2 linked regions of the Tamandua tetradactyla genome follow. The protein of the gene in region 1 interacts with the protein of each later gene in a pairwise test. Links are inferred from orthologs where the notes say so. Each region holds a gene or a part of one and is shown in the gene's direction. Other genes may lie near its edges.

What was found.
Region 2: the proteins of TMEM239 (region 1) and CXCL16 interact in a two-hybrid assay, tested with the Homo sapiens proteins (2 studies listed by BioGRID). The two-hybrid records come from large-scale screens. The link is inferred for Tamandua tetradactyla from reciprocal best matches to the Homo sapiens genes TMEM239 and CXCL16.

The regions. Positions count from the first base shown.
Region 1 is NC_135327.1:24,534,259-24,545,214, forward strand, and holds TMEM239 (transmembrane protein 239), read left to right. Parts: upstream 1-7,373; 5' UTR 7,374-7,499; intron 7,500-7,644; 5' UTR 7,645-7,658; coding exon 7,659-8,114; 3' UTR 8,115-8,127; downstream 8,128-10,956. Other genes in the region: C1H20orf141 (uncharacterized protein C20orf141 homolog), read left to right, coding at 6,312-6,583, 6,687-6,924.
Region 2 is NC_135332.1:60,645,097-60,657,200, forward strand, and holds the start of CXCL16 (C-X-C motif chemokine 16), read left to right. Parts: upstream 1-5,978; coding exon 5,979-5,990; exon of another isoform or gene 5,991-6,010; intron 6,011-6,411; coding exon 6,412-6,498; exon of another isoform or gene 6,499-6,563; intron 6,564-6,684; coding exon 6,685-7,081; intron 7,082-7,453; coding exon 7,454-7,592; intron 7,593-7,888; coding exon 7,889-7,971; intron 7,972-8,250; exon of another isoform or gene 8,251-11,920; coding exon 11,921-12,104. Other genes in the region: ZMYND15 (zinc finger MYND domain-containing protein 15), read right to left, coding at 953-1,124, 1,414-1,574, 1,851-1,909, 2,008-2,161, 2,317-2,415, 2,506-2,594, 2,710-2,826, 2,977-3,057 and 5 more. UniProt on the Homo sapiens protein: Acts as a scavenger receptor on macrophages, which specifically binds to OxLDL (oxidized low density lipoprotein), suggesting that it may be involved in pathophysiology such as atherogenesis. Induces a strong chemotactic response. Induces calcium mobilization.

The DNA.
Region 1 (10,956 bases):
GTTAGCATCAACTATCTGGTATGGCTGTGGCTGAAAGTTTCCCAGGCGAAAAAAAAGGCACTCTTATCAGGCAGGGTGTTCTGAAGACTTAGAAGTTTCCTCCCAGAAGCTGGGTAAGGGCAGAATGTTTCTTTGGAATGTGTGGACGTTGCAGGCCTGCTGGGCTAATCCTTTACTACACAGCACCCACTGCAGCATATGCTGCTGGCAAGGTCCCTTTACTGGCTGGTGCTGCTTATAACTCATAGCTGTGTGCTCTCTTCTCCAGGAAACTAACTGCCTTCAGCTGACAGGAGCTGACTCACCCCCTCCAGGGTAAAGGAGCCACAGCCAATGACCGACTGACACAGGGTCCACGATGCAAACCACTCGATGGTGCAATTCACCTTCTAGAATTCCCTGTGGGATCAGGCTGAGGCCAGGCTCCAGCTGAGACCATGCCCTTACTTAGTTCTTTTCTCTCCCCCATCCTGCTTCCCTTCCCTCACTTCCCTAAAGGTTTTCCTCCTGAGAGTGTTCCCTAAATAAATCACGTGTACCAGCATCCCCATCTCAGGCTCTGCTTTTGGTAATCATGACCCAGCATCTGGCACTGTGCCTGGCACACAGGAGAAACTTGCTAAGTAATTGAAGAATGAAAAAATAAACTCTGATGTTGAGGAAATCACGAATAAAAGTTTCCTATAAATGTATGCAGAGCAGAGGGCGCATAGTAAATCTTTCAGGCACCCCCACTACCCCCAGTATAGAATAGCCTCAACTTAACACATTATCTGGGCATGACCCTCCGTTCTGCATGTCCAGGAATGGAATGTTATGAATGTTATCTAGACTTGATCAGGCTCGGGGTACTGGCAATCTTAAATCTTAATGCTAATTTGCTTATTTACAAAGAAAATTGGAACTTGCCAAAAAAAATGCTGGTGTTCTCTGTTGTATCCTATCCCCTCAAGAACAAACCTACATTGGAAGCCTGGTTCCTGGATAAGCAAGAAGAGCTAGAGAAAAAACAATTGGTGATTATTCCTGCGGGCCAGTGGCATTAATCTTATGGGCCATTGAACCATCACTGCCAGGTGAGTCAAGGCCGCCAGGTGAGTCCTTTGGGCAGGGTTCCCTGGAGGCAAATATACAGCCTGATTCTTGTTCTGTCCTCTCCTCCTAAGGGTTAGATGGCCTTTACCTACACACCTCCCCCATCAGTTTTCCCTCAAAGTATGATATGGGAACAAGAATTCAGTTCTCTGAATTATGACCAATTACCACTCTTTTTTTTTAATTTTTATTGACAAATTTTCACATATGTATACTCCATACATGAGCTACACTCAATGGTTCACAATATCTTATTTTAGAACATTTGAATAACTCCGGAGAAAGAAATAAAAGGAAAAAACTCATACATCCCATGCGCCTTATCCCTCCCTCTCACTGACCACTAGTATTTCCATCTGCCCAATTTATATTACTCCTTATCAATCCTATTATTTATTTATTTATTATCCATATCTTTTTACTCATTTGTCCATACCCTGGATAAAAGGAGTATCAGACACAAGGTTTTCACAATCACAGTCACATTGTAAAACTTGTGTCTTTATACAATCAACTTCAAGAATCAAGGCTCCTGGAACACAGCTCAACTGTTTCAGGTACTTCCCTTCAGCCACTCCAATACACCATAAACTAAAATAGGATATCTAAATAATGCATAAGAATAACCTCCAGGATAACCTCTCGACTCTGTTTGGAATCTCTCAGCCACTGACACTTTATTTTGTCTCATTTCTCTCTTCCCCCTTTCGGTCGAGAAGGTTTTCTCAATCCCTTGGTTATTCTTACGCAATAAATAGATATCACCTTTTTATTTAAGGTCTAACACAGAGGCTGGAGGGAACTGTCCGAAAATGTAGAACTGTGTTCCAGTAGCCATGTTGCTTAAAGATGATTGTGTAATGATACAGCTTTTGCAATGTGACTGTGTGATTGTGAAAACCTTGTGTCTGATGCTTCTTTTATCTACCTTATGGACAGATGAGTAAAACGTATGGGTTAAAAATAAATAAATAATAGGGGGGACAAATGTTAAAATAAATTTAGTAGATTGAAATGCTAGTGATCTATGAAAGGAAGGGGTAAGGGATATGGAATGTATGCATTTTTTTCTGTTTTCTTTTAATTTCTTTTTCTGAATTGACACAAATGTTCTAAGAAATGATCATGATGATGAATATACAACTATGTGATAAAAAAAGAATGTTCATGTATGTTGATTGGTTTTATTAATAAAAATTAAAAAAAAAAAAAGGCTTTCTCAATCCCTTGATGCTGGGTCCCAGCTATCCCAGGAATTCTGTCCCATGGTGCCAGAGAGATTTATACCCTGGGAGTCACGTCCCACGTAGAAGAGGAGGGCAGTCACCTGCTGAGTTGGCTTAGAGAGAGAAAGGCCACATCTGAGTCACAGTAGAGGTTCTCTGGGGGTGGACACACTGTTAGAATTCCCCAGGACCCTCAACCCTCCTGCCCCGCCTCCCACAGTGTAGCTAGCACTTCACACGTCTCCACACAGCAGTTGCAGACGGCATTCCTGGAATAAACTTTCAACCCAACATCCACCCTCTGGCAACCGCACTGATAAATCCCCTCACTCAGTGTCTGCCAAAACTCCCGCAGCTACAACCCTACCAAACTATAGCAGCCTTTAAATCTTAAACCCCACCAATGAAGGGCGTACAACTTCCCAACTGACCCTCCACTTCTAACCCAACCAACAAAACCCCCCAATTTCCCATGCCCAACAAAAGCCTCCAGCCCTTCTACTACAAAGGTTCTTTCCGAGTCCTTCCCCAGGCTGAAGTCTATACTGCATGTGCTCACTAATCAACCTCCTGCCTGTGCTCGTCAGTCTCCGTGTCGGGGGTGTATCCTTTTTCCTGACACAAACCAACAAAAGCCCACGCCCTATTCAAGATTCCATGTAGTTAGAGCATTCAAGTAAACTGACCATAGAAGTTAAATTTAAATATGCATTTTGCACCAAATAAACATCTCTTCCTTTGGCCTCACACAAAAGTTGAAGTTCTAAAATATGGACGATATCATCCTTTACCCTGTATTCTGATCTCCCTTAGTGCTATCCAGATCAGCTTCCTTCACAACTCTTGTCAAAGTTTAATCCCTTTTTCAACCTCTCAAACAGTTCCTGTATGGGGTACTGCTGACTTTCATAGCTTCAGAGCGCTAACTCTGAGTCTCAGGTGTCACATAAATACCTGAAGTTTCTGGGAAAGACCATGTTATATACAAACAGCTCAGTATCTCAGAATTTAGAATAACAGTTGCAACTCTGGAACAGATGTGACTGCTGTGAGCGCTTACAGTCTAAGACCCTTTACAATAGACCCAACCTGATCACACATGCTCTCGACTTCAGTTCACCAAGCTTTTATATTAGAGTTAGTCCATACGAGTGAGGCATAATAATATTTGTCTTTTGGTTTCTGACACTTCATTCAACATCCAGTCCTTAAGGTTCATTCGCCTTAATATATCTTAATATATCTCACAACTTCATTCCTTCTTGTGGCTGCTCAGTATTCTGTTGTATGTATACACCATAGTTCCCCCTTCCATTCCTCAGATGTTGTACCCTTAGGCCACCTCCACCATTGTGAATCGGGAACACTGCTCCCATAAGCACCAGTGTGCAAATGTACATTCGTGTCCCCACACTCAGTTCTTCCAGGTATATACTGAGCAGTGGGGTTTCTCGATCATACGGCGGCCCCACCCTCAGCCCCCTGTGGCCATTTCCACTCTTGCTTCTCAAGTCACTGAACTGAGATGTGTGGCCACCACCCATTTTCAGACTCTCAATGGGGATAGATTTTCTTTTCAGGTGACCAATCCCTGTTTCCTTTTTTGTCTTTTTAATTTTTATTGCGGTTAACATTACATACAACACAACACTTCCCATTTCAACCATTTTCAAATACATAATTCAGTGGTGTCAATTACATTCACAGTGTGGGCTACCATCACCACCGTCCATTAACAAGACTTTTTCAGGACCCCAAACAAAAGTGTTTCCTTTTTATATCGGTTTGCATTAAGAATGGAATGCACTTTTCCTTTACTGTCTGTAAATCTTTCTAAAGTAATTTTGACATGTTGTTTTCTTTGTGGTTGGCTTTTTAACTACTGTTTCAATATTTTTAACAGTTGCAAGATTATTTATACTTCCCTGTTTCTCCTTGAGTCAGCAGTAAGTTATATTTTTCTAGGAATTTGTCAATTTTATCAACATTTTCAGATCCTCAGGGGCTGTGGATGAGTGATCAGAAAACTCTTCCTTTCTTTCAAAGTCAATCATAAATGCCACTTCTGTGATGTCTTGAGTGCTTTCCCCCAAATTAATCCCAGCATTTAAAATTAGTATAATCAGTGTCCAAGTTCTGGTCTGTTTTTTTTTTTGTTTGTTTGTTTTCTGTTATTTTTTGGGTGCATGGGCTGGGAATTCAATCCAGGTCTCCCGCATGGCAGGTGAGCATTCTCCACTGAACCACTCGTGCACCCCCTGATTTGCTTGTTTTTGTGTAGATAAATTGAACTGAGTCCCAGTTCACATCTAAGTGGGGCCATACCTGTCTATTGATTGCATAGGGTAAGTGTTTGCAAACCATAAATTTCAGTGTTGTTAACAAAGGACATTACTTATACCCTCTTGGTCCGTGGCACATATAGTAATGATATGAAGCCATTTTATATTGTTTGCCTGTCTTAGTGCCCTATCTTTATGCCCAGTGCTTAGCAGAGACTTGGGCACACAGTAGGTTCCAAACAAAGGTTGGTTGAATATGTGAAGTAGGCATGGAGAGCATGAAGTCGGCATGGAGGACTAAGCCCTGCCCAGAATCAGAGAGAAAAGTCAGTCTTTCATGGGAAAGGGTACTCCAGAGGCCGTAAGCCACAAAGAGGTGCTTACTAAATTTCTTCTCTCCTTTGCAGGCAGTAGAACCAGTCCTGCACCCACATCAGTCTACTTACTGAACAAAGTTGCAGGCTGTGCTGCATGATTATTCTGTATCTAGTGCTCAGGTCAAAGCAAATGGGCCCAAAGTTTATGGAGCCATTCTGGTGAGCACTAGCTCCTTTCAGCACCCCAGTCCATCTGGCTTACTTTGGAGCACCCGATGGGCTCAGTTCCTCCTAGTTCTTGCCTTCTTCTCCTCCGGCTGTTTTCACAGGTGGCCATGGAACGGCTGCTGAAGAGGAAGACCCAGGCGGCAGAGCCCCACAAGAGTGGTCCCTGGGGTAGGGGGTGCTGGTGACCTGACAGTCTGCCCTGGGATGGTCTCCTCCTGCAGGAGTCGTCCCCTGGTGGTGGTGCGGAGCTGGCTTTGGATCTGGCCTCCCGCTGCCACCAGGGGCTAAAAGGCCAGAGGATGCATCCCCTTCGGTGACCCTGGTTGACATCTGTGGGGAGCTTTCAGTGCATGTTGATGTTCCTTAATTTCATTCTGAAACGATAACCTTAACCTCCAGGTTTGTGGTTATTATGTTGCAGCCTTCTTATGCACTGATCTTCTGCCCCAGTTCTTGAACCCCGGAGTTGAGTATGCTTAGATCACCCGAACAGCTCCCTCCTGCCCCCACCTCCCTCCCATTCAGCAGGTCACCCAGCCCAAGAGAGTCTCAGGCTGCCTCCTGGCAGAGCTTCTCTCCGCCTTCCAGGTCTGTAGTTTCAAATGTCACCACAAGGGCCAACAGGCATCACCTCACTCGCAGGGGAGAGGTGCGGGCAAGGAGATTGAATGAGTTGCCCTTTGACACACAACTCTGGAAACCCATGGAAAGAAGAAAGCAGACCTTCCTTCTCCACCCTGGTCGGCTGCTCTTGTGGTGACAGGGTTAGAATGCCTTTCTAGAACTCAGACGCCATCCCCAGGGGAAGGTCCTAAGGCAGAGTTAGGTCTCTCTCAGAGTTAGGTTGCAAGAGGGTCTCAGTTCTCAGGCAGTGCTGACCTCCATTCAGCTAAGCCTTGCCCAGGCCACTGACTTTGAGTGGCCTCCACCTACAGGTCACAATGCCCCAGCGGCCAGTCCCATATGGGTGCCCGAAGTGGGAGGAGGTGAGGGGGGTTTAGTGGGTGGGTATGCGGTTGGGAGAGATTCCCAAGAAGCCTGATTTCTCACTCTTTGAGCTCGCCCTTGAATGTCTGCCAGGGCCCCACCTCCTCCCATGCTCCCACCCACCCATTCTCCCTTCCCACCAACACTAGCCCTTCCTGTGACCTTCACCTCCCTCCATGAGCCGGCTCTGCTTCCCCAGGCCCGAAGTCTTTGCAAATCCCATCCCAGTCCCTCTGAGGGGTCTGGGTGCCGGGGAAGGGTTGGCCAGACCAGTGGGGCCAAACGTGACCCCCCGGGATCCTGGTCTGGTTCAGCTCCTGGACAGTGCCCTAGGGCTGGGGGCGCTGGGACTGGCAGCTCGGGCAGTCCTTTCCACTGCTGGTCCAGCCCTGTTGCTGCTGCTGCTGCTGCTACTGGTCAGCTTCCTTGCCTTCGACCTGCTCCACAGGTAAGTGGGCAGACGGCCGGGCAGGTGGGCAAGTGTGTAGGCAGGTGGGCAAGTGATCAGCCTCCCTAAACCTGGCAACCTCTCTTTCTCTCTCTCTCTACAGACCAGGAACTCCTTCCCTGCCGCAGCATAGGCTTCTTGAAGGGGGCCAGAGTCAGGGAGCCGGTGAGGGTCCAGGACAGCTGGGGACTCTACTCCTACCAGTCAGGACAGCCACAGGACAAATCAGCCTCCAGGATGCACTGCTCCTGCTGCTCATGGGTCTGGGGTTGCTCCTGGGAGCCCGTGGCATGCCCCTGACCCTGCTCGGCCTGGCTTTCTGCCTCCACCCTTGGGTCTGAGCGCCTTCCAGGAATACATGGGCCGTCCCACGTCCTCGGGTCTGCTTTCCTCCATCCTGGGCTGGGTTCCGCGAACATCTGGGACTCCCTGGCCCCACGACTTGGGTCCGAGTTTGGGGGTCCAGTGGGGCCATAAGAGACAGGGAATCCAGGGCAGATGTGGTAGCCATTTCAGAGTCTGCAGGATGGGGTGGCTATTCTGGCCTCCTCTGTGCCCCTAGGGAATGAGAATCCAGAGAGAAAGACTTGCGAGAGAGCAGAGAGAGGCTGTATATCAGCCGGCAGGGAAAGGACAGAGATACAGGGAGGGCTTTCCCATAAGAAAGTATGAGAGTACTGGTCCATGGAGCTCCCTAGGCATCCCTGCCAGCCCAGAGGGTCCATGGAGAGGGACTCAGATGAACTTCTCCCCCTGAATTGGCTCTGCTAATGGTTGGACCCCACCCCGGCCCGGGTCACAATGGGGCTCCTCTGGGGAGGGAGGGGGGATGGGTGAGCATGGGGGCTCGAATCTGGCTGCCAGGCTGTCCCGGGCTCTGTAGGAGGCAACATGACTTAAGTGGTTCTGCCCAGAGGTAAGTCCCAGGTCCCAGCTCACAGCCCCACCCCACCCACGCTGGCACCTTCCTGCCCCCGTAACACTCCTCCCACCACGAACCCGGCCCTTGGTCCCAGGCTTCTTCAGGGCTACTTCTGCAGCTAGCCTGGCCCTCTCCCCAGGTGCACCAGCCACGATGCAGCAGCCTCGAGTGGAGACGGATGCCACCGGGGCCGGCGAGGGGCTGCAGCCCGAGGTGCCCTGGTCGACCTGGATGACTCGGCAGGGCTGGCTGCGCTGGTGGGCATGCCACGTGCCCCGGAGCTGGGCCCAGTGGTGGACCACATCCGGCTGGCGGCAACCGCTGCAGCGTGTGCTGTGGGGTCTTGAGGGAATCCTCTACCTGCTGCTGGCTCTGATGCTGTGCCACGCGCTCTTCACCACCGGCTCCCACCTGCTGAGCTCCCTGTGGCCCGTGGTGGCAGCGGCGTGGCGCCACCTGCTGCCGGCCGTCCTGCTGCTGGTGCTCAGTGCGCTCCCGGCCCTGCTCTTCACCGCTTCCTTCCTGCTGCTCTTCTCCACTCTGCTGAGCCTCGTGGGCCTCCTCACCTCCATGTCTCACCCTGGCTACGCTCAGGTCTTGGACCAATAGAAAGGCAACCCCATCCCACTGCCTGTGTCTGTTGAGCTCAGGCCTAGGGCCCGAGAAACCGGAGGGGAGGGAGGGCAATGAATCTGGACTTTCCTGCCCCAGCAGCCCCCAGTCTCCAGCACAGGCCGGGGCATGTGTGGTGTTGCTGGAGCTGGAAGGATAGACGTGCCAGGCTCTGGGCACTTCCCTCAATGTGATACTGCAGGGGCCTGGTGTGCGGTCCCAGGAAAAGGCAGAGAGCTTAGCCAGGGGTGGAGTTTGGCCAAGCCACCAAAGGCTTCTGGCAACTGGCAGCATTTTCTTCTTTCAGCTGCTCAGCTGTCTCAGTCTCAGACCTCACTGAGAATTTATACCTGGGTACAGCTGACTCTCCATTCTTCCTCTTCCCACTTCCAGGAGCCCCACAAGTTCTGAGAGGGCCCCACTGACAGAAGCTTAAGGGGGAGAGGGCTGGGCAGAAGCCCCCCCCCCCCCCGAGACCTCACGTCACTCATCTCCCAGCCTCACAAGCTCGCTCTGCTCCCTTGACTTCCTACCTCCTGCCACAGTCCACACCCCCAAGTCTGGAAATTGGGCTGACCAGGGTAGTGAGAGTTCCAGGGAGTAGTTATTCTTCTTTTAAGGCTCCTAAGGTCCCTTGTGGAAAAACAAACAAGAAGCCCCGTTTGGCCCACCTACACAACGTGTGGCCTTGGCCAGTTAATTCCTTGGAGGCCTCAGTGTTAAAAGGGTCCCAACCTATCATGGGGGTTTTGTGAGTCAAAGGCAGTACTCATTTGTGAAGTACTTTATAAGGATCAGAAAACTGTAAGATGACATTTTGAACACAAAGAACATTCGGTAGGTTGAAAAAAAGTGTTTTGACCCAGAAGGCTGCTGAAAGAGCAGACAGCTTCCCTGGGCCTTCAGAAAAATGCTCTGTCGTAGATAGAAGTTTGGCTCTTGAAATGGATGGATGGGTGTGGACAAGATGTAAAAGATCTCAAAATGTGCAGATGTTAAATTCTTCTGATTGTGAAATGCTTGGGGCCGGGGCCTGGTGCCAGGAGTGCTCGCACAGCTGTGTGAGTGCGGGAGGCACAGCCCACAGGTTTCCAAAGCTGACCCAGCACACTGCTCACAGCACCAGGAGGGCTTTGGAAGGTGGCATCCCTTGAGGCCCTAGACTGGCCACCTGCACATCTGCTGACCCCTCCAAACCAAACATTAAGTAATCAGGTGTTACCAAGTAGGATACATGATAAGACAAACTTACCTACCCGACCCCGCCCCATTCCTGACCCTGAAGCGATCCCCAACCTCTAGTTCCTGCCCAGCCCTGACCCTTTCTCCTTATTTAACCCTAAAATGCCCACTTTAGAAGCCATAGACATAAGTCCCCTCTCCTTCCATCTAAATATTTGGACCCTGAGGCTTGGCCACCCCTAGAGACCTGATGAGTGCTTAGTTCGTCTTTGCCAACATCCATTTACCATCAGATTTTACAACCCTGCTTGCCACTGTTAGATGCCTTCAGCATCAGTGCCTCAAATATGGTCTGGTGGCAAGGACAAAGTGAGACACAAAGTTGATACGGCTTTGTGGCTGACTTGGCTTTAGCATATTAGCTGAGGCTAAATCTGAATCCCAGCACTGTCACTTTCTAGCTCCATGGTCTTGGTGGAAATTGCTAACTCTCCCTGAATTTAATTGTCCTCATGGGTATAATAAAAGTAAGAACAAGTGCCTTAGGGCTCCTGTGGGGCTCCTGAGGGGCTCCTGGCACATGGGTGACTACCTAGATTGGATTCTAGCTCCGAAATTATAGCTATGCTACTACTATGCATTTTAGAGATGAGAAGTCAGGCTCAGGGTAGTCACTTGCAAGTGGCCAAAGAAAGCCATTTGAGAATTCAAAATGGCTACTAAAGGAAAACTATGGTAGCTGGAGGTAATACAACCTCACCAAAGCCCAGAGGCCTCTCAACACCTGTGCTTAAGAGCTTCCTTAGAGATAAAGCCCAGGCTTTGAAGTCATGAGTCAAACCAGTCTAGATGCCTGGTGGGCCAAGGCTCCAGTGTCCTACGGGTTAGGGGTGGGACCAGGATGCCAGGACCATTGACTTGCTATGTACTGCTGGTCAGTGACGTCACTCCAATCCAAGGGGGCATTGGATTAAGGGAGAAGGGTGGCTGTAGCCCAAACCTGAGGCCCTTGGGGGCAGGACATGGGCAAGAGCAAAGAGAAGACCTTGTTCTCCCTTAAATATAGACCTATCACCTTCTTCCCTGCTGGTATGGAGTTAAGTGGAATAGCCAGGCTGGGGAGCAAATGATTAACACTTATCAAATTAGAACACGTATACCCTGTGGCCCAGCAATCCAAAATAAATTCTCACCGAGGGCCATAAAGACCTTGCTCCTTGAAGTGTGGTTCCAGGACCAGGCAGTGGAGGCATTACCTGGGAGCTCGTTAGAAATGCTCTGTCTCTGGCCCTACCTCAGACCTGATGAATCAGAGCCTGCATTTTAGCAAGAGCCCCAGGGAACACAAGTGCATACTGAAATTTGAGGAGTGCTGCTTAAGAAGGGTGCATTTGAGAATAATGATATTATTATTGGTGGTGGCAAGAAGATGGGAAAAGTAAAGCATGGCCGACAAGCACCATGGAGCAGAGGCAGCAGTTAGAAGGGGGTAGAGCTTAAAATCCCAATGTTGAGTGAAAAGAAGCTGCATGAGAAGTAATACAATTCCTTTTACACAAATTTAAAATGCATGTCAGCCAAAAAGGACACTATGTATTTTTTCAAGAACACATAAAAACAAAAGATAAACAGAATGGAATGGCCAATTCAGGGGTAG
Region 2 (12,104 bases), on another chromosome or scaffold:
GTGAACGGTCCCCAATTTGGATTTGTCTGATGTTTTCTCATGATTAGACTGAGATTATATTTTGGGGGGAAGAATAACACAGAGGCAAGGAGGCCTACTCATCACATTACATCATGGGGCACGGGATGTCAACACAACTTATTATTTACTATTAATCTTGATCACTTGATTAAATAGGTGTTTTTCCAGGTTTCTCTACTAATTCTCCCTTTCCATACTCTATTATTTCCAAGTGAGTCACTAAATCCAGCCTACACCCAAAGGGATTTTAAGAACAGAGGGAAGTCACTGAAGAGGTTTAAGCAGGGGAGTGATTTGTTCAAATGCCTGTTTTAGAATACTCTGGCTGCAGTGCAGAGAGGAGATACAGCCGAGTTTGCAGTAGGACAGGAAATGAGCTGATAAATTTGGGCGCCTTTAGGAGACAGACTCTGTAAGAGTTCATTAGATAGAAAGAATGAGGGAAAGTGGAGTCAAGGATGGGAGCCAGGTTCCTGACTTGGACAACTGGGTGGTTGGGGCCTTTCACTGAATCTAAACCAAGGGATCAGTATGCCCCTAGGAGGTTAGGTGAACATTCCTATGCAAACCCCGTCCCCCTAGTGGGAAACCACTTCCATCCTTGGGGCAGGACCCTGAGTTTCCCCGGACCGGAAAATGGCTTATTAAGAGGTTTGGGATCACCAAAGAGTGTGTCCGAGAGGGGACAGCCGTTGGAGGGACTGAAAGGGACTGGAGGAGTGTCAGCCCTAAATCTTCTCTCCCCGCCCTTATCCTTTCCTAGTCATTGGCGTATAATGAAAGGGTCGATGACTCAGTGATTTCAAACAAGTAATTTTATTTACCTTTCCATGTTCCGCCAACCAATCCTCCCCCTCAGCCTGGCGCTTTCCCATTTTTTTCCTTTCTGCGGCGCGTCGCGGGCGGGGGTGGCCTGCTGCCGTCTCAGCCCTCACCTCCGCCGACGGGGCCCCCGCCCGGGCTTCTTCTCTCCGCGGCGCCTTCGGGCGGGGGCGGGAGGAGCGGCAGGCGGCGGGGCCGGGGGCGCGGGGCCGGGCGCTGGGCGGGCCCCGCTGCCGGGCGGGGGCTTGTAGACCAGGTGGAAGATGAAGGCGTTGCAGTACCTGAGAGGGGGGCGCGTGGGTGCGGTCAGGGGCGGGGCCAGGCGGGCCGGGGGCGGGGCCAGGCGAGCTAGAGGGGGGCAGGGTCCTTTCGAGGGTGGGGCGAGGAGTTGGGAAGAGTCTGTGAGCTGGATCTTAAAAGGGGTGGTGGGGGGCGGTGGAGGCGGAGAAGGCGGGTTACACCGGGCTGGAGAGGCAGAGGGCAGAGGTGGGCCTTTTTAGATGTGGAGCCAGAGAGGAAGAGGACGAGTTGAGGGTCACGAAGGAAATAGGGAGGGTCGTGGGCCCTCACCAGGGCATGCAGTTGTCGGCCGCTCTGAGGCGAAAGGGAGAGCGGAAGGGGTTGGGCTGTGGGGGGCTGGTGCCCCCTCCTGTGGCCACGGCCATGGTCTGGTCGTCCATCACGCAGCCATACTCGCTGCTCTCGGTGAAGAAGGCCGGCACTCGGAGGGACTGCGAGTAGGGTGGGGCCTCAGAGACGCGCCTTGGGAAGCTCCCCCACACCTCCCAGGTACAATCCCAAGCCACAAGGATGGCAGACAGAGTTGGGAACTGAGGCTCCAGAAAAGACCCTGTCAGGGGAGGGGCATAAGGCAGACAGGGGCAAGAGGACCTGTGGACGCTCCCCACATGTTGGGAGCAGAGGATGGGAAAGGGCCCAGAGATTCTCAGACGAAAGGAGAGGCAGGGCAGGTAGCCAGAGAAGTTCTCTTTTAAACCCCTCCCCACCTGTAATCGGGGCAGAGAGCTCAGCCAAGTGTCCTTGAGACCAAAGCCAGAGTTAAATCCTGTGGACAGAGAGCAGGGAGAAGCTGGCTCCCATGGTCTGCCTCTCCTCCACCTTTTCCATGCCTCCTTCCTCCTCCCTTGAGCCCCAGGCTCTCACCAATAACCAGGTCAGGCTTGGGCCCCTGGAGCAGGTGGTAGGGCCGTGCTGACACCTTGATCTGCAGGTCCCTGCGCCCCCCCTTCTCCTTAGTCCCAGAGCTGAGCCGTGCTGATACCCCAGATCCAGGGCGGACCGACACCTCAGGGCCATCCTGGGGGGCCAGGAGCGGGGTGGGGAAGCCACTGAAAATCAGAGTCCTGGAGAATGCACCAAGCAAGACAGGGGAGAAGGAGAGGAAAGGAGGGGCCCAGTGGGGAGGACAGTAGGGAGATAGGGCTGAAGAGCAGGGCTCCCCTTAGTCCTGACCCTCTGTAGAGTAAAATGCTGCTGGTCGCTCTCGGGGGGCAGGCCATCACCCACAAACTGCAGCTCCAGGGCCACATGGGGGAGCAGGACCAAGAGCTCCTGAAGGACAGAGAGCAGGACAGATCTGGGTCCCACCCTGCGTCCACCCCCATACTCCGGAGCCCAACCCTCAAGCCTGGAGGGACTTACCCAAAACACCATGACAAGGTCAAACTCTTTCCCGGCCTCCACCACGTGGATCTTCAGTGACTGTTTGTTCTGGATGTTGAGCTCAGGGACTGGTGAGAAGCCAGCTTTTGAAGGATACAGTCTCCCTCTTTTCTCCCTCCAGCCCCCTACCAGCTCCCTACACCCCCTGCTCCAGGCCCTCCTCCCTGCCCCAGCTTTCCTTACAGGACTGGGGCACAAGGTGGGTGATGACATAGTACACTGTCAGAGGGTAGGTGAGAAGCACGGCCATGGGAGAGTCCAAGCCGAGGCCCCGCCATGTGTAGTAATCCTGCCAAGAGACTGGGGAGAGTGGGTTAATGGAGGACCCGGCCGCAGGCCAGGACCCCAACTCCTCCAATGTAACAGCCCCCTTTTTCTGAGCAACCTAGGCTTCCAGCCCTCCAGCCCCTGTTCCTGCCCCCTGGGTCCCTCTGGGCTCCTCCAACTCACCAAAGAGGCCTCTTGGTGGATCTGGGGGCACAGGAGGCATCAAGGCAGGCCCGTCCCCCTGGAGAAGCTGGTAGGGATCTCCTGAGAGGATGAAAGGGAGAAGGACCTGATGTCGATAAGACCCTCGCCTGGGCCATCCCCCTCTTCCTTCCAAAGGAGCTGTGTCCCCTGAGAGAGCTCCTGGAGCTGCAGCAAGAGGAATGGGGGTTTGTCTGGTAGGGATGGAGCTTCTGAATGGGCTGCACAGAGTGAGGTGCTGGTTGGGAGAGGGGGGAGTTTGGTGTGGATGTGGAGGGGTTATCTGGGACTCGGACAACTTTTTTCCCCTGTAGGCTGAGGGGCCCATGTCTGAAGAGATGCCCCACGCACCACTGAGAAGAAGGCTGAGGGATGGTGCGCTGCCCCGTGGGTGCCTGGGAGTGCCAGGGCCTGGAATCAGCATGCTGAGCTGGGTCCAATAGCCACGAGTGAGGCCCCGGGACACCAGGAATGCCTCCTTGTTAAAAGTTTCACTGGTCACCTCTGGAGAAGGAGGAAGAGGAGGGGTTGAGGGCCTGGTGGCTAGGACCCCAGACTTTCACTCTCCTCAGCCTCCCTCAAGGACCCCAAATCTGAATCTGGTTGTAATCAGGGAAGGAGCTAATATTTTACCACCTAGACACCAAGTCCACATAATCCTTATGACAATTCCATCTATGGGTTTTTGTTTGTTTTTTGGTGCATAGGTTGGGAATCGAACCTGGGTCTCCCGATGGCAGGAGAGCCTTCTATCACTGAACTAGCCATGCATCCCCATCCATGGATTTCAACATTTGTTAGTCTCCCTATTTTACAGATGAGAAAACCAAAGCCAGAGAACTAAAGAGATTTGTTTAAAATCACACTGCCGGTTAATGGTAGAGCTGGGAAGGGAGCTGTCTGAGTCCCTAACCCTGAATCTCCTAAACTCTTTCAAGGATCCAGGTACTCAGTCCTCAGCTTCAGAGACCCTGCTCCAGCCCCAGGGATCTAACTAGCCCCCTAACCCCAAACACCAGCCTATCTTTAAGGGGTCTAGACTCCATCCTCAAGCACTTTGCCTTCAATCCCAGGACCCTGTACCCATTTCCAGGCACCCAGACCACAATCCCAAAGCTCTAATCCCAGCTTTTGGCCCCCATCCTGACCTTAAGTACCTGTGGTGTAGGTAAAAGGCAGAGTTGCCAGTTCTCCTGCCCGCTCCATGAAGGCTGCAAGCCTCGGGCACCAGAATTGGTGGCTCACATCATCTGGGGACCGCCGCCAGTCAGCCCGGAGACAAGCTTCTCCACAGTACAAGACAGCGCTACACTGGGGGCTGGGAGACACGGCGGCTGGTGGGCCCCTAGTTGCTCTCTCTGTAGGTGCTTTGTCTGCCATCTGTCTGCCCTTAAGCTGCCCATTTGTCAGTTGGCCTGTTTGTCTGTCTTTCTAACTGTAAGGGCTTGTTCCTTGTCTCCCTGGCCCTCCTTCCATCTGTCTGCTGAGTCCCCCACCAGCCTGCATTCTCTCTGTTTGCCTGGTCTTCCTCCCTCGTACTCCATCTCTGCTAGCTGCTCACCAGGGCCTCAGTTTCACTTCAAAGCTATGCCTGTGACAAACATGGCAGGTTCGAGCCCGAAGGGACGCAAAGGTGAAGCCCGGCCGGGGACCCCATGTCCGCATTGGGGTCTTGGCTAACTTCACTCCCAATCTTGGAACCAGGCTCTCCAGCTCTCTGAGTGGGGTGTGAAGATGGTGTCAGGCCCAGGGCTTGGAAGTCCAGGTCCTTAGGCTTCCCCACCCTCACATGCCATGTTTCTGTACCGATGCAGCTGGGGGTCTCCCACAGTAAGCTGTCGGGGCTTTCGGGGGTCCCCAGACCCCATGGGGCAGGCCATGCTGTGGCAGAGGAGAGCGTAGGCCCGAGGAACCAGGTGCGTCAAGTTCTCTGTCCCTGAGCCCCGGCCTGTGCTCCCCGGGGCTCCATTCATTAGCAGGTCAATGCCCAAGATGGTACCATGTTCATCTGTCACCAGTAAGAGGCAGGAGAGGTGCAGGGGGTCAGCCTCTGGGAAAAGAGGAAAAAGTCACAGGTGTCGTGATGGACAAGGTCAGGGGTCCCAAATGCCTACTGGGGCTGGGCAAGTATGCCAGTGAGTAAAAGGGCCTAAGAATGCTTCATGGTACCAGCATTTGCTGCCCTACAGAAATGTGTTTAGATTTTTCTTGAGAAGGTATTAATCTTCTGGATTTCTTTTTCTTTTAATATTTAAATGTCGAGTCGAATTAAAAAACAAAAAGTACTGTGGATTAATGAAGACACTTCTTCAGTCCAGACTGAGTTCTGGCTGGCGGGGGAGGGTTCCAGAAGTGAAGCTCAGCTGGGCAGGGGATAGGGCAAGGCCAACCCTTGGTTCTTACCACTTCTCCGTCCTTTCCTCTTCTCAGAGGCTGTCTCGTCCTCTGCCTTGTTCTCTCGGCAGTCATCCTCGCCACTTCTAACCTCCGGCTCAGCCTCCTCTGGCACCCCTGAGGGGTTTGCTTCCTGCGGGGAGTCCCTACTGGTCGCAGCTGGCGCGCTGTCCTCCTCCAGATCCACCTTCTCTGGGCCTGCATCTTCCTTTTCTCCATTCTCTTCCTCTTCCTCTTCCTCCCCCTCCCCCTCCCCCCCATCCTCCAGGCGGACCAAGCTGATGTAGGGGCTCAGGTCTCGCAGATGGAGGGGGGCCTCATCTCCCAGGAGCCGAGCAGCCCCCAGGCCTGGCCCAGCACCTGGCTCTGCCCCTTGCCCCAGGCTGATGCCCACACTACGGTTGGGCAAGACATGGAGCACCCAGAGGGCCGGGTCCTGGGGCAGCCTTCTGATCTGAGCCTCCAGCTGTCGCCAGCGGCCCTCGAGACTTGTCCCCACAGCCCCACGCTCGGCCACGAACTTGCGGAACCAGCCAAAGAGGAGGGCAGCGAAGTCAAGAAACTCATCCCGGTATCCAGACACAAACTCCATGTCTTCAGGGGCACAGGGCCTGGGCCCAGACTGAGCAGAGGAAGGGACATATGGTGAGGGGCGGGTAGTGTGAGAGAGTTCGGGGGTGGGGGTGGGCTGGCGTGGGTTTGTGAGTACTTTAAGGTGAAGTCTGCAGATGAGTTGGAGGAACTGAGAATAGGGTTTCAGGATTGAGGATAAAAATTCAGAAATGAGGATGGGAGGTTACTTTTTGGAAATGAGAGATTAGGGTAGAGGGTGATCACTCAGGGGCTCAAAATTTGGGGGCTTAGAATTTGAGGGTTCAAACCCTCAGAAGTCGGGTTCGAGTATAGGCTGGGGATGAGGGAGGGCTAATCCCACTGGGAAGGGTTGGGCAAGGAGGGAAGAATTTTGGACCCGTCTGTGGGGCGTGGGAGGAGGGACGAGGGCCGGGGCACCCCTTCGGCCAGGCTCGGTTTGACGGTGAGCCCCAGCAGACCTCGCCCCTCCCGGCCGCCCGCTACTCCGGTACCTGCAGCCGCCACCACTTTTCGAAGGTAAATACCACGGGGAGGGCAGTCGTGACGTCAGGGCGGCCCGAGCCCTCGGCCCGCCCCTCGGGTGGCCACGCCCCCGTGGGCTCCGTGACCGAGGGTCACTGCGCTGGCCAGGGTTCGCCACCTTCGCTCCGGCCATGTGACTGGACTCGGCTGCGCCCGGGGCCCGGCCGGGAGAAGTGAAAGCGCCCCGGAGGGAGGCTGCGCCGCTCGCTGGTTTCGCCCGTCCCGCCTGCTGACCTGGGGAGGGCGGGCGGCCCGCGGGGGCGCGGGGCGAAGGTCCGCCTCCGGGGCTTTCCCTGTCGCGGGCGGTACCGACCGCACGGTCCGTTCGCGACGGTGGGAGCGCCGTCACCTCGCGCCCGCTCCGCAGCAGGGACCCGGCCCCGACGGCCGCCGTCTTCTCCAGACGTTCAGTCGGAGCAGGGGAGGAAAACCAGCCCGACTTCACGCTCCGGGATCCCGTCCGGGAGGCAGGCAGGGCGAGGTGGCCTCGGCCACCGAGACCCCGAGATGAGGCGGGGTCGGCGACCCCCCGCGCGCGCGCTCCTGTTCCTCCTGCTAGCGCGGCTGAGTCTGCCAGGTTCGTCAGGGGCTGGGCCGGGAGTCTGGATCCCTGCGTCCGGGAAAGGGGATGTGCTTGGGGAGGGGAAGTTTGACGGCCGCGGGGCTGTATAAATGGAGAGCCAGGCGCAGGGTAGCAGGGGCAAGGGGAAGACCAGCTGCCTGGGGATAGAAGCTAGGGGACACCTGGGTTCAGGTACGACTACAGACGTCTTTGGGGGCGAGGCGTGATGTGAGGGCTAAGCCTGGGGGTCAGCTAAGCCTGGGATCAGACCCTGGGGTCTAGGGGAGAGGCTGCAGTGGGTCAGTGGGTTGGGGTTAAATAAGAACGGGGGTGGGGGGAGCTCCCTTGGCCTGGGAACTTGAGTTGTCCACCTCTATTCCTGCTCAGGCGATGGCAACCAGGCCAGTATCACAGGAAGTTGTCCCTGTGATAAATCATTTTCTTCGCGCTCCCCACCAACGCCTGAATACATGGAACATTTCCGAAAACATCTGAGAGACTACCAGCGCTGTCCGCATTACATCAGGTGATCTTCTCACCCACCACTGGAAGGAAGGGAGTGCCTGCCTCATTCCTGCCGGGCGCCTCCAGGACCCTTTTCTGATCTAAAGCTGAACTCCTTGGGGTGGGCATACCCCCCTTTCCCGGACCTCAACTCCCCACACATTCATTTCCCAGCCCCACTTACCTGGGGACTTCCCAGTTCCAGCAGACAAGACTTTCTTGGCGGTGACCTCATTCCTTTGGAATGAGGAAGGAGCAGGGCAGGGGGAGGGGAAGAGGGGAGCCGGCAGCTGAGAACAGTTTTTTTTTCCCTTGCAGGTTCCAGCTTCATTCCCGGAGTGTGTGTGGGCACAGCAAAGACCAGTGGGTTCTTAGTTTGATGCGATGCTATGATAAAAAAGGTGAGAAGTTTCCCCCCTCCTTCCCAGGCTCTGCCTCCAGGGCTTAGCGGCTTCCACTTTGCAAATTTTTTTTTTTTGCTTCAGCAGTTTCCCCTGCGCTACCTCACATTCCCAGAACATGCTAACACTGGTCAAAGAAACTTCATCTAAGTCTGTGTTTACCAAACTTCATTCATCACCACCTTCATGATTTTTGTCAATTCCTTCTACCATCTGTGCTGTTATTGACTTAATATTCTTTTTAAAATCAAGCAACTATTTTTGTTTTCCAATATTTTATTACAGAAATTGAAGGATACATATGAAAGTTCAAAGAATTGTACAATGAACATCCATATACCCACCACCTAGATTCCACAATTATTTTACTATATTTGCTTTATTTCACATCTGTCTCATTATCCATCCCTCTCTCCATCAACCTACCTTATTTTTTAAAAAATACGTTTATTGACAAATTTCCACACACATACAGTCGATACATGGACTGTATTTTTAAAAAAATAGTTTTATTGATAAAACTTAACATAAAAACATTCTTTTTTATCACATAGTTGTATATTCATCGTCATGATCATTTCTTAGAACATGTGCATCAATTCAGAAAAAGAAATAAAAAGAAAACAAAAAAATTCATACATACCCTACACCTTACCCCTCTCTTTCATTGATCACTAGCATTTCAGACTAAATTTATTTTAACATTTGTTCCCCTATTATTTATTTTTAATCCATATGTTTTACTCATCTGTCCATAAAGTAGATAAAAGAAGCATCAGACACAAGGTTTTCACAATCACACAGTCACAATGCGAAAGCTGTATCATTTTACAATTATCTTTAAGAAACATGGCTACTGGAACACAGCTCTACATTTTCAGGCAGTTCCCTCCAGCCTCTCTGTTACACCTTAACTAAAAAGGTGATATCTATTTAATGCATAAGAATAACCCCCAGGATAATCTGTCAACTCTGTTTGGAACCTCCCAGCCATTGACACTTTATTTTGTCTCGTTTCTCTCTTCCCCCTTTCGGTCGAGAAGGTTTTCAAAATCCCTTGGTGTTGTGTCCCAGCTCATTCTAGGATATCTGTCCCACGTTGCCAGGAAGGTCCACATCCCTGGGAGTCATGTCCCATGTAGAGAGGGGGATGGCAGTGAGTTTGCTTGTCATGTTGGCCAGGAGAGAAAGGCCATATCTGAGCAACAAAAGAGGTTCTCTGGGGGTGACTCTTAGGCCTAATTTTTAAGTAGGTTTAGCCTATCCTTTGCGGGGTTAAGTTTCATATGAACAAACCCCAAGATTGGGGGCGCAGGCTATGGCTTTGGTTGTCCCCACTGCTTGTGAGACTATCAAGAATTCTCCACTTGGGGAAGTTGAATTTTCCCCCTTTCTCGCATGGACTGTATTTTAATTTAAAAAAATAGTTTTACTGAGATATCTTCACACACATACAATCCATCCAAAGTATACAGTTAAAGTATACAATTAAATCCATCCACAATACCATCACATAGCTGTGTATTCATCTCCATGATCATTTTTAGAACATTTGCATCATTCCAGAAAAATAAAAAAACTCATACATTCCATACCCCTGACCCTTTCCTCTCATTGACCATTAGTAGTGTCACCTACCCAATTAATTTTACCCCTTATTCCCCCTATTATTTATTTATTATCCATATTTTTTACTCATCTCTCCATACCCTGGATATAAGGAGCATCAGCCACAAGTTTTTCACAATCACACAGTCACACTGTAAAAGTTATATCTTTTTATAATTGTCTTCAAGAATCAAGGCTACTGGAACACAGCACAATAGTTTCAGCCACTACAATACACCATAAACTAAAAAGGGTTATCTATATAATGCATAACCTCCAGGATAACCTCTTGACTCTGTTTGAAATCTTTCAGCCAGTGTAACTTTATCTCATTTCTCTCTTCCCCCTTTTGGTCAAGAAGGCTTTCTCAATTCCATGATGTTTGGTCCCGGCTCATCCTGGGAATTCTGTCCCAGGTTGCCAGGGAGATTTACACCCCTGAGTGTCCTGTCCCACGTAGTGGGGGAGTGCCGAGTTGGCTTAGAGAGAGAGGCCATGTCTGAGTAGCAAAAGAGGTTCTCTGAGGGTGACTCTTAGGCATAATTTTAAGTAGATCCACCTTATTTTTTGACGCATTTCAAAGTAAGGTGTAGGCATCACTATACTTCATCTCCAAATGCTTCAGTAGGCAATTAACTAGAGTTCAATATTTTGCTTTTGTTTTTTCTTTTGAGATAATGTTTACATATGACGAAATGAATACATCTTAAGTATCCACAGCCACTTTCGAAAATTTAAATAGCAACTTGTCTTAAGTAATAACACCTGGGAAATCACAAATTTGTTGCATTAGTTGTATTTCACTCCTAAAATAAGTGTACAACCACTAAAATGTTCTTCCATGTCTCAGCTAAAGTTTTCTTACACATACCACCTTTTGGACTACACAGACATGTCTGATCTTATTTAATTCCCCCATCTACTCTGGTCCTTTGTACTAAAATTATCTGCATTTTACAGCTGAAACATCTGAGTCCTAGAGAACCTTAAGAGACACCAGGCAAGGTCATACAGCCATTTTGCCACAGAGCTGGGGTTCAAGCCCAGGTTTCCTGGCTTCCCAGTTCAAAATGCACTTTTCCAGTGGTTCCATACTGTGTTTTGCCCACTTACTTGTCTTCTATCTTTCCCTTCTGCTACTGCCTTCCTTTCTTTTTTTTAAAATTTATTAATTAAAAAATAAACAAAATAAAACATACATAATTATCAATATCATCACTTAGTTGCATATTCATAATTTCTTAGAACATTTGCATTAATTCAGAAAAAGAAATAAAAAAACAGAATAGGAAATAAAAAAACAGAATAAGAAATAAAATGAACACAGGGAAGAAAAAAAAAGATTATACCTACCATACCCCTTACCCCTCGCTTTCATTGATCACTAGCATTTCAAACTAAATTTATTTTAGTATTTGTTCCCCCTATTATTTATTTTTATTCCATATGTTCTACTCCTTTGTTGACTAGGTAGATAAAAGGAGCATCAGACACAAGGTTTTCACAATCACACAGTCACATTGTGACAGCTGTATCATTATTCAATCATTCTCAAGAAACATGGCTACTGGAACACAGCTCTACATTTTCAGGCAGTTCCCTCCAGCCTCTCCATTACATCTTGAATAACAAGGTGATATCTACTTGATGCATAAGAATAACCTCCAGGATAACCTCTCGACTCTGTTTGGAATCTCTCAGCCATCGACACTTTGTCTCATTTCACTCTTCCCTGTTTTGGTCGAGAAGGTTTTCTCAATCCCTTGATGCTAAGTCTCAGCTCATTCTAGGGTTTTTCTCAATCCCTTGATGCTGAGTCTCTGCTCATTCCAAGATCTCTGTCCCACGTTGCCAGGAAGGTCCACACCCCTGGGAGCCATGTCCCACATAGAGAGGGGTAGGGTGGTGAGACTGCTCGCTGTGTGGGCTGGAGAGAGAGGCCACATCTGAGCAACAAAAGAGGCTCTTTTGGGGGTGACTCTTAGGCCTAAATTTTAAGTAGATTTGACCTATCCTTTGCAGGGTTAAGTTTCATATGAACAAACCTCAAGACTGGGGGCTCAGCCTACAGCTTTGGTTGTCCACACTGCTTGTGAGAATATCAAGAATTCAACTTGGGGAAGTTGAATTTCTCCCCGTTCTCACCACTCCCCAAAGGGGGCTTTGCAGATACTTTTCCACTCACTGATTGAATCACTCTGGGATTCATTGGGGCTGCCTTCCTTTCTTGACCTTCAGATGTCCTCTTGATGCTCTCCCTGACTCCCTACCCTTTCTTCTATCTTCTTCTTCACCTTGACCTCTGGGGATAGTCCTGATTCCTTATTTATTGTCTCCCCAGAATGTGGACGTGCTTACTTGGGGAGTCAGACCCACCAACAGCATTTACCTCCCCCCAGCACCCAGGCCCATGAGCCCACAGAGCGGGCACCTTCAGAAACGGGCACCAGTGTCCAGACGTTTCTACTGTCTACCCTGCAGTCTTCCCAGCAGCCCACCCTTCCAGCAGGAGTACCATCCTTGAA